Xenopus tropicalis: one gene and its partners. The main gene of each other region encodes a partner of the protein of the gene in region 2 in a complex. Links are inferred from orthologs where the notes say so. Each region holds a gene or a part of one and is shown on either strand. Other genes may lie near its edges. The genes, in order: eif3f, eif3i and eif3g.

What was found.
Region 1: eif3i (region 2) and eif3f share a complex: the UniProt entries of both Homo sapiens proteins name them as parts of the eukaryotic translation initiation factor 3 (eIF-3) complex. The link is inferred for Xenopus tropicalis from reciprocal best matches to the Homo sapiens genes EIF3I and EIF3F.
Region 3: eif3i (region 2) and eif3g share a complex: the UniProt entries of both Homo sapiens proteins name them as parts of the eukaryotic translation initiation factor 3 (eIF-3) complex. The link is inferred for Xenopus tropicalis from reciprocal best matches to the Homo sapiens genes EIF3I and EIF3G.

Annotation. Positions count from the first base shown.
Region 1 is NC_030684.2:141,318,959-141,323,240, reverse strand, and holds the start of eif3f (eukaryotic translation initiation factor 3 subunit F), read right to left. Parts: upstream 2,936-4,282; 5' UTR 2,926-2,935; coding exon 2,778-2,925; intron 2,649-2,777; coding exon 2,578-2,648; intron 2,010-2,577; coding exon 1,930-2,009; intron 776-1,929; coding exon 638-775; intron 558-637; coding exon 466-557; intron 334-465; coding exon 197-333; intron 117-196; coding exon 3-116; intron 1-2. Other genes in the region: fcrlb (Fc receptor-like B), read left to right, coding at 3,800-3,827. UniProt on the Homo sapiens protein: Component of the eukaryotic translation initiation factor 3 (eIF-3) complex, which is required for several steps in the initiation of protein synthesis.
Region 2 is NC_030678.2:86,496,753-86,499,152, forward strand, and holds the end of eif3i (eukaryotic translation initiation factor 3 subunit I), read right to left. Parts: intron 1,931-2,400; coding exon 1,841-1,930; intron 1,761-1,840; coding exon 1,687-1,760; intron 1,615-1,686; coding exon 1,522-1,614; intron 1,435-1,521; coding exon 1,353-1,434; 3' UTR 614-1,352; downstream 1-613. Other genes in the region: uncharacterized protein LOC100216114, read left to right, coding at 62-347. UniProt on the Homo sapiens protein: Component of the eukaryotic translation initiation factor 3 (eIF-3) complex, which is required for several steps in the initiation of protein synthesis.
Region 3 is NC_030679.2:137,098,179-137,102,430, reverse strand, and holds the start of eif3g (eukaryotic translation initiation factor 3 subunit G), read left to right. Parts: upstream 1-1,408; 5' UTR 1,409-1,440; coding exon 1,441-1,460; intron 1,461-2,604; coding exon 2,605-2,702; intron 2,703-3,417; coding exon 3,418-3,506; intron 3,507-4,252. UniProt on the Homo sapiens protein: RNA-binding component of the eukaryotic translation initiation factor 3 (eIF-3) complex, which is required for several steps in the initiation of protein synthesis.

The DNA of each region.
Region 1 (4,282 bases), on a different chromosome or scaffold from region 2:
ACATTAATGTTGCTGTTCAACATGGCCTCAAAGTCTTCTGGGTCGATCTTAGGAACCTGGGTGACCAGATCCATCAGGAAGCGCCCGACTGTGTTGTCTGCCGTCACCTTCCCCGACTTCCGAGAGAGAGAGACAGGGGTTAAGGGTGAACGGGGAGTAAGAACCAATCAGAGGGGGTGATGGGAGCTGCACTCACCAGTACATCCTCGGCATACTGCAGTACCGTGCTGAGGGAATCCTGCAGTCTGTTAGCCGCCACCCCCACCTGCTGCAGGTCAGTGGTCAGGCCAATGGAGCGGTTGGGATTGGCGCAGGTCTTGGTGATCAGATCCACTGTGAGGAGACAGACGGGATTATATATACATGCTGTAGGGCATCGCGGGCATGAAAGCTACAAACCCTACAGGCTTGGAACCCCGGCTGCCACTAGAGGCGCCAGAGGGCTCGCAGGTACCAGGCACTCACCTCCTATCCGCTCTGTGTCATAGTAGACATACTGCACGGTGAGAGGGGTGAACATGACGCCCATGGTTTTGCCGGGAACGCCCATCGGGGAGCTGTGGGAAAGAGCAGGAGAGGCATTCAGCCAATGGAACGTCCCATACGCTTGTTGGGAGGGAGGTTGGCGCCCCCGTACCTGATATAGGCCTTTATGTTCATACGGTTCCCCTGCAGGCTGGTATCCACCGTCATGTGAATGGGATTGGTGGCCTCGCGGCTGTAGTACTCATGGATCAGAACAGAGTGCTCGGTGATGTCATTTCCTGTGGCGTACCTGCAACGTATCAGAACACACACGGCTCAGGGGACAGGAAGTGCCACACACACACTGGGCTCGGGGGGAACGGGAAGCGCCACACACACACTGGGCTCGGGGGGAACGGGAAGCGCCACACACACACTGGGCTCGGGGGGAACGGGAAGCGCCACACACACACTGGGCTCGGGGGGAACGGGAAGCGCCACACACACTGGGCTCGGGGGGAACGGGAAGCGCCACACACACTGGGGTAGGGGGGACGGGAAGCGCCACACACACACACACTGGGGCAGGGGGGGACGGGAAGCGCCACACACCACACTGGGGCAGGGGGGGGACGGGAAGCGCCACACACACACACTGCGCTCAGGGGGGGACGGGAAGCGCCACACACACACACACACACACACTGGGCTCAGGGGGGGACGGGAAGCGCCACACACACACACTGGGCTCAGGGGGAACGGGAAGCGCCCCACACACACACTGGGCTCAGGGGGGACGGGAAGCGCCCCACACACACACTGGGCTCAGGGGGGACGGGAAGCGCCACACACACTGGGCTCAGGGGGGACGGGAAGCGCCACACACACTGGGCTCAGGGGGGACGGGAAGCGCCACACACACTGGGCTCAGGGGGGACGGGAGGCGCCACACACACTGGGCTCAGGGGGGACGGGAGGCGCCACACACACTGGGGCAGGGGGGGACGGGAGGCGCCACACACACTGGGGCAGGGGGGGACGGGAGGCGCCACACACACTGGGGCAGGGGGGGACGGGAGGCGCCACACACACTGGGGCAGGGGGGACGGGAGGCGCCACACACACTGGGGCAGGGGGGGGACGGGAGGCGCCACACACACTGGGGCAGGGGGGGACGGGAGGCGCCACACACACTGGGGCAGGGGGGGACGGGAGGCGCCACACACACTGGGGCAGGGGGGGACGGGAGGCGCCACACACACTGGGGCAGGGGGGGACGGGAGGCGCCACACACACTGGGGCAGGGGGGGACGGGAGGCGCCACACACACTGGGGCAGGGGGGACGGGAGGCGCCACACACACTGGGGCAGGGGGGGACGGGAGGCGCCACACACACTGGGGCAGGGGGGGGACGGGAGGCGCCACACACACTGGGGCAGGGGGGGATGGGAAGTACCACTTACCAGCCCACAATCTGCTCAGTGGAGGTAACTTTCTTATGCAGCTCGTACATGTTCTTGGCAAACTCCATGTCGACAGCCACCTGGGGTAATTACAGAGGGCATGAAATACTGAGCAGGGCAACACTACACAGGGTAGGAATGGGGTGTGCGGGCCCGACACAACTCTCACCCTACCCTGCCCTCCCCCGAGTATGTATATCTGAGACTCCCCTGGGTGTAATCGGGGGAAGGGAGGGGGGCAGTGGGGATTGGGTCTGGGTTGGTGGGCCCATCAGGCTTTTCCCCCAGTGTCCCGCTGGCCCAGACCAACCCCCACACTACTCAGGCTACAGCAAGTGATTCAGGGGAAACTCCCCCAATACTCCCCAATATACACGTACATTTCCCAAATGTTATTAAATATAGTTTCTATGGATTCCCCGCACTGCTGCTACTGACTGCCAACACATTATAGCCCAAGGCAGCCAATTACCAGCCAGCTACATTGGTTCAGGAGTCAGAGCCCGGACTCGGTAGGAGACACCTACACACCCAATAACGGTCTGAACCCCAAACTGAAGCCATAGGGCCGCTGTATGTGCCCAGTGGGGGGGGGGGCAGCACCCACCTGAATAAACACCCCCACATATTATTATTAATGGTACAAACCTCATCCTCAGACTCATTGTGCGGGACGGAGAAGCAGTTGGTCACCTCCACTGAGTGTTTGTCTGTCGTCCCTGTAATCACACAACAACCAATGGTTACATCTCAGTACTGAATACAGCTCTTGTCACAACGAACCCTTTTTGTCCCACTGCGGCTCCCGTCACTTATACCCCCCCACGGTAACCAGGGCCCCCCCTTACCCAAAAGGGTGCCAATAACCCGCCCGGCTCCTTCGTTTCTCCTCTCATAACTGTCCACGATGGAGGCTAAGACCACCGGATGGACCTTCACTACCGGACCGTGCAGCATGGCTGATCCCGCCGCGGATAGAGAGCCGGCAGCCGCCATCTTAACTAGGGCAGACGCGCAAGAGGGGGGATCATGGGCGGGGCTTCAGTGAGTCACAAAACGCCGCATTCCGATTGGACCACATACAGGAAGTGCTTGCACGTACGCCGGGAACGTCGACGCTAGGCGCGTCGCTTTGTTCCTGATTGGCGCTTACGGAGGGACGCCTTCGAGGCGCAATGCTTTACTGTGATTGGTCATAAAGCAGTCCATCAAAAATAATATTGCTGCGATTGGCTGTACGCCTCCCAATGTTCTTATATACAGGGAGTTCTGGTGTTTAATGTTTATGTGGAGCTGCCCAGGTCTCTATCTATCTCAGTATTAACCATTAGGTGGACGTTTCCAGTTCAGGTTTCTGAAAAACACATTTATATATAAATATTGGTATATATTTAGTATATACCTCTGCCATAGGGGAGGGAAGCTCCTCACAAGCCAAATAAATATAATTGTTTAATCAACTGTGGGTAATTTATTAAAACTTCAATAAAAAATATTGTCTAATTCAAGTTTATTGATCACAAAAATAAAGGGAAACTTGAATTGACCCCCCCCCCCAACCCAAACAAAGCAGCATTTTGGAAAGATACAGAATAATAAGGCTAATAATGTCGAATAAAAAAAGACCAATTGTCAGGCTGCTTCGTACAGGACCTTTTAGAACACACTAAACGATTAGGAATCTGGAGTATCAGAAACAACCAATCAGTGAGTGTCCTGTATCTCTGGGGGGGGTTTAAGGGTTAAGGAACCTTCATCCCTGTTTGGGAAGAGTAGGGAGTTGTGAAATGTTCTATACATAGAGCCAAATACAGAACTAACAGGGTTTATATACAGCCCGACCCACTGAGTGCCTTCTGCTTCTGCCGGCATGGCGGCTCTGATCCTGGTCATTATTGGTAAGAGCCATATTATTCTTATATTCCTTATCTCTTCAGACAGAATGCTCTGTTATACAGATAGCTAGAATCTCAGCCATAAAGCAGGGCAGGACTGCTGCTTACAATGGGGGGATCAGATAGGATCTGTGCCACTGTGACAGAATGCTCTGTTATACAGATAGCTAGAATCTCAGCCATAAAGCAGGGCAGGACTGCTGCTTACAATGGGGGGATCAGATAGGATCTGTGCCACTGTGACAGAATGCTCTGTTATACAGATAGCTAGAATCTCAGCCATAAAGCAGGGCAGGACTGCTGCTTACAATGGGGGGGGATCAGATAGGATCTGTGCCACTGTGACAGAATGCTCTGTTATACAGATAGCTAGAATCTCAGCCATAAAGCAGGGCAGGACTGCTGCTTACAATGGGGGGATCAGATAGGATCTGTGCCACTGTGACAGAATGCTCTGT
Region 2 (2,400 bases):
ATCCTATACCTGCCCTCTTTATTGCATTAACTTCAAAAAGTCACAATTATTTTCCCACCAGATGTCAGTATGAGGTGCAAGATCGGACACACTCGCTGTGGGGTCACCTTAACCAGCCAAAAGAGCGACAGCAGCTTCTGAATCCAATATATCAAGAAAATCCTTTAGTTATCTGGCCTTCTGTTGCACCACAAAGCTTACAGTTATGGGCAGGTGAGGCAAGCTGCAAAATCATTACAAGGTACCTCTTGTATAGTTCTTGTTTTTGTATGCAAGTTGTATATTCAATGTATACAGCTGCAGAATATTTTGGCGCTTTAGATACATTATCAATAAGTAGTATATAATACAAGGTAGTAATGTGGGTTCTAAAAACGAATATTTTTTTATCTCATCAGGTTTCTTTCTTCGATACCTGCTACCCTTAGAACACACAGAAATGGCATGGATGAAGATGGTTGAGCTCACAGGAGCATAAAAAATGCCTCCGACAGAAACAATAACTTTAGAGGTTAAAATAAAGTCTCAGTGCCCACGTGTCCAGTATATCAAAAGATTGGAGGGGAAACAAAAAGGTACAAATGGCTATCTAAACAAATGTAGTACACAAAGATAAGTTAAAGGCAGTTTATTTCTCATACTGTCAGATGTTGTTTCAGAGGGAAAATACAAACCACCCCTGACATCAAAGCATAAATCCATTTAATAGAAATTCATGCCTGTTGCTTTGTCCTGGATTAATGATAATTGCAGTATGTTTCCAACCTGAGAAGCTGCATGTGAATTAAAGGATGTAATTACTGAGCCCTCTCTGTATAGCACACCCAATGATTAAAGTGATACTGACACTAAAAAACTACTCTCAAATATTAAAGTACAGTAAAAGTTACCTATAGTTCTAGTTGATAGTCTGCTTTTCTAAGCAATGGTTACTTGAAGATCCTCAATATGACTGTTTTACCAACCTGTCAGAGTTTTAAATGCTAAAAGACTACTGCAGCCCCCTCACAGAGGAAAAAGGGGGATGACATAGGTAATGTAAAAGCATTGGCCAAATACTTTTAAGGCAAAATTATAAATAGCATGCAAAAAAAGTGTTACAGTAGATTTCTTGTGTCACTATCTCTTAAAAATGCATTGTGTTATTTTCCTTCCCACAGATAAATGTATGTGAAACATTTTGGTGGGGAAAGAACAGTGGCAAAGTATGTTTATTTTGCTTCAATAAATATAGTAACATTTATTGTAAAGATATCATTGAGCAGTCAATACAATTGTGTGTGTGTGTGTGTGTGTGTGTGTGTGTATGCAAAGATGTGAAGTAGGATATAACCAAGCACGAAGCAGCTGTCTCACGACTCAAATTCAAAGTCGAAATATTGTGGGTCAAAGTAATGTATTCTAACGTATCCATCCTCTCCTCCGCTGCTGTAACTAAAGATGCATAAAAAAAAAAAAAGGAATAAATTCCTGATAGGTAAAACTGTACATTTCTATGCTACTAACGTCACCTTAACTTACCTCTTGCCATCTGGATGGAATGCCAAACTGTTAATAGGCCCAAAATGGCCTTTTACTCTGCCAAACTCCTCCTCAAAAGCCACATGGAAGAACCTTAAAAGATAAGGAAATTAAAAAGTGGCCTAGTAAAGCCTATAGGTTTGGTCAGGAGGGACTCTGACTTACCTGGCCTCAAACTTTCCAATTCTTGTTGATGTTGTGGTTACATCCATAGCTTCCTGTCCTCCTCCTAAAACTACCTACAAAGCAGGGGCACATGTCAGCAACAGAATCTTTACATACTGGCACAAGGCATTTACATTTCACAATAAACACTTACATGGTCATATATGGGTGAGATGGCAGCAGAGTTAACAGGTCTTTCAGTCCTGAAAGTTTTCTGATGCTCAAGTGATGTACTGTCAAACAGCTGTAAAGAATACAGTAGATGAATAGAAACTGAAAAAAGTCTATTGAAGGGTTATTGAAATTGTACGTGTTAAAGATATGATATTAAGTTTCAAAGTGTAGGACCGAAACATTGGTTTAACACCAATAAATATTTTCACTTATTTTCTAAGCCACACAAGTGCTCAGTTATCATCATATTGCTATATTGCATAGCACCTGCGCCACTGACTTTCTTTTGGGAGTGCGCTGCCACCATTTAATCCTTGTATGTACAGGTAAGACTTAGGTAAAACTGAAAAATGTATAATGAACCACTAGAATTCTTACTGAATAAGATAATTGAGCATAGGACTGGCCAGCACAAGAATGTTTTTGATGTAGTTGGTCAGTTTGAATTTATTGCAACATATGGACAAACAATCCCTGTTTTGTTTAAAGGAGAAGGCATTTCTTAATACCTTAAAGGGGTGGTTCACTTTTAAGTTAACT
Region 3 (4,252 bases), on a different chromosome or scaffold from region 2:
GCAGGTGTCGGTATGTGCATGTTTGGGGGACTGCAGGTGTCGGTATGAGCACGTTTGGGGGACTGCAGGTGTCGGTATGTGCACGTTTGGGGGACTGCAGGTGTCGGTATGTGCACGTTTGGGGGACTGCAGGTGTCGGTATGTGCACGTTTGGGGGACTGCAGGTGTCGGTATGTGCACGTTTGGGGGACTGCAGGTGTCGGTATGTGCACGTTTGGGGGACTGCAGGTGTCGGTATGTGCACGTTTGGGGGACTGCAGGTGTCGGTATGTGCACGTTTGAGGGACTGCAGGTGTCGGTATGTGCACGTTTGGGGGACTGCAGGTGTCGGTATGTGCACGTTTGGGGGACTGCAGGTGTCGGTATGTGCATGTTTGGGGGACTGCAGGTGTCGGTATGTGCATGTTTGGGGGACTGCAGAAGGTACAGAGGGAGTTGAAATGTGAGCAGATTATGATGAGAGGGGGAAAGGGGATTGAACAGAATTTTGTAAATATTAGATCCAGGGAGTTCCCATTGGAGTGAGAGGGGGAGTCAGAGCACAGAGATAACCCAAAGGAGGATGTGAGTGAGAGGAGTTTAGAGACAGGAGGGGCATTAGGGTTGTTACCAGGTTAGTACAATGGATTTCAATGTGCTGGGGGCTGAGTTCCTCACAACTGTAACCAAAGCTCAAGCATAATGAGAGCTAGAACTCCGGCCTCATGGCAACACTGCAGCTTATGGGCCCAGCTGAGGGAAAGCATTGGACGACCAACCAACAGACCCTGCTAGTGATAGACTACACGCAACCAACAGCCTCCATTCACATTATTTATCATGAGGCCACTGAAATAATAAGGGGCCCAAGCAAATATCCGCTGTGCGCCGCCCTATAATCGGCAATAATCTATTAGCCACAGGGCACGGTAACCGCCAAGTGCCAGTAACTAGTACAAAGTGAGGGAAAAGTACTGGCACTAAATACAAGCGCTACAGCAAATCGACTTCCGCCTCCGAATTCTCGGATTAGATAGTGGAAATTGAAGGACAGCACTATAGAGCGGCACCGGAAGCGCCTCTCTATCCGCCAGCTTGAGCTTGTTACTAGCGCGCAGTGTGGAGCCATCTCTCTCTTCAGCTTCCGGAAGCGCTAGCAGCCGCGGCCCAGTGCAGCACAGACATGCCGACCGCAGACTAGAGCGGCACCGGAAGTACCTCTCTATCCGGCGGCCTGAGCTTGTTACTAGCGCGCAGTGTGGAGCCATCTCTCTCTTCAGCTTCCGGAAGCGCTAGCAGCCGCGGCCCAGTGCAGCACAGACATGCCGACCGCAGACTAGAGCGGCACCGGAAGTACCTCTCTATCCGGCGGCCTGAGCTTGTTACTAGCGCGCAGTGTGGAGCCATCTCTCTCTTCAGCTTCCGGAAGCGCTAGCAGCCGCGGCCCAGCGCACCACAGACATGCCGACCGAAGACTATGAGTATGTGCGGGGAAATAGCATGGGAGCCAAGCGGGGAGTAGGAGGGCAGGGAACACACACTGTAGTCACGGTTGGAGTGAGAGTCTGTGGCCAAATGGAGATTTAGGGGAGACGTTCAGCCTTTGGGACCCTGTGTCCTACTTTAGGATTTCCAGATGTTGGTGGACTACAAGCGGGCCCGGTCTGGCCATCTGTGCGCTCTGGCAAATGCCAGAGGGGGCGCTGTCACTGTTTTATTGGGCCTGTGGGAGCCTCTGTATCATTGAATTGCACGATTGGATCCAGTCCTGACTACAAGTCCCAGCCATGTGAGTTGTAGTTCACCAACATCTGGGTATCCAAGTGTATGTAAGGCTGGGAGAGCCATAGTGTGTAGGGTAGGGAGGTCCAACCTAGGGCTGGGCGATATACCGTTTAATACCGAATACCGTTTTTTTTTTTTATAAAACTATATTCATTTTTCAGATACCGCAATACCGGGGTGTCAGGGTACTCACCCGTGCGGCCCGGTCTCGCGCGTGTCCCGTTGTCCATGGGACGTTGCGCACGCGCGCCCAGGTGCGCATGCGTCAAAGCGCACGTACATGTCAAAGCGTGCGCGTCTATGACGCGCTGATGGCGCCGGTTCTGCGCATGCGTGGGGGGTATTTAAAGTTATCAAACGCCTCCTCCTGTGCTATGTTGTCTGCGGCCTTGCCTGGGAAACTAAGCCTGCCTGATTTACCTTACGACTTTCTGTTGCCGATCCTTCACTTGCCTGACTCTGATTTTCAATACTGCAGTAATTATTCTCTAATTTATTAGGAAATGGGGTTAACACCTAATCATGCATGGAAAAAAAAATACCGTCAAATACCGTGACACCGATATAATTTTGAAAAATACCGTGATATAAATTTTTGGTCATACCGCCCAGCTCTAGTCCAACCTGCAACCCTCTGGCTTGCAGTGTATGCTGGGAGTTCAATGGATATTACAGGCTAGCTTCTGGCTGAGAGGGGTTAGGAACTTATAGGTGATGAGTGAAACAATACTAATTTGGGATGGGATGAGCCCTCCCCACCAGGGAGGGAGCGGGTACGAGGCTGAATGCCAGGCTGGCAGATGTGGGTATCTAGTCTGAGATCTCTGTTTATCCTTTCAGCTCCAAGCCCAGCTGGGCTGACCAGGTGGAGGAGGAAGGAATAGACCCAGAACCCATAAGTCCACCAGTCACCAAGGTCCAACAAGATCCAGCCAGCTGTGAGTATTTATTTGCAGACCTACACAAGGGTATCCGGCTACAGGGGCAGAAAGGGCATGGAACTGCCTTGCGTGTCACAAGACCACATTAGACTGCTAATACCGCGTTTTTAGCCTAGCAGCTCTCTTGAAAGTCAGTGACCAGCCTGTCCAGGTTGTGCATAGTCACTTAGGTACAGTCTGACTGCTCTGATTGCTGCTGAGCCAAGAGCCTCTTATTAGCACTAAAATAGAAGGTTAATGTAAACAGTGTAATTATGTCAATAAATGTTAATTTTTTTAGCTTTAGATCCCACTTATTTCTTCCTCTGTTGACTTTTCAGCAGTGTAGACAAAGCAGATAGCCGAACATTCTCAAACTTTCTCATTTAGTGCTCCTATAAAGTCCTGTTTTGGGTAGTGGAGCTGAACTGTATATTTTAAATTAGAATTCCACTCACTACAGTTACCCCACAGCAACTGGAGGCCCACCGACTGAATGTGGCCCTCCAGATATGCTTTATGGCCCCCAGTCTGCTTTAAAGCTCTATGGAATTCACTGTATGAAATAATTTTAATGTAATAATCCAAACATTGTATATGAGAAATAATTAGCCCACTACATGCAATAAGCTGGACAGCTTTACCCCACAGTAATAGCTGGCTGAATTTAGGCCTTGTTGTGTGTATGTTTGAGCAGGCTGTCTGTTATGATTATGATTTTACCCCCCCCCAGTTGTTCTGGACACTCCTCAAGAGGTCATCAATGGTAAAATCAAAACTATCACAGAGTACAAGCTGAATGATGAAGGCAAGAAAATCAAGGTAGGGACAGCGCATTATTATTGGTGGGGAGGGCTTGCACTTTGTTTCATTTTCATACTCTGTGTACTTATGGGAGAAAGGCTTACATCTGCTACAGATGCTATGAATGCAGTATGTCTTTTATTATTTCATAAGGTTCCTTATCCCTGACAACATGAAAGCAAAATGTTTGAATATATTTTCTGTGTTTTTTTTTTGTTTTTCTTTTTAGCTTCTGTGTTAAATTATTATTGGCTAAATGTCTCTTGCATTCTAGACAGCCGTGAGTTTTTGTAGGTTCATTTATACAGACTGCCTAAGGACATGTCAGTGTGTATATATTATATACTTGTTTCCTATGCGCCTAGTGTGGCAAGATAGTGGTCACTGGTTTATTGAGGAACTGGCTGAATATAGGCTAAAGCAGCAGATCCTAGATCTCTGTATTTATCCTGTAGAACGGCGCTGTTCAACTGATGGCCACAAACAGCCCGCAGGTCCATGTCTTGTGGCTCAGTGAAGCTCCAAGGAATTTATGCAGATTAATTATTAAAGCATATTCTTTTATCAATTGCCCCATCCAAACTGGCAAGTACATGATGATACAGAGGTTGGCAGAATGAGGCATAGGAGGAAATAATGAGATTGCAGAAACGTAGGGTGAATGGGTAATAAAGCTGCAAAGAAAAAGGAGAGTAGAGAAGAGAGAGGTAGATATACAGTGGAGGAAATAATTATTTGACCCCTCACTGATTTTGTAAGTTTGT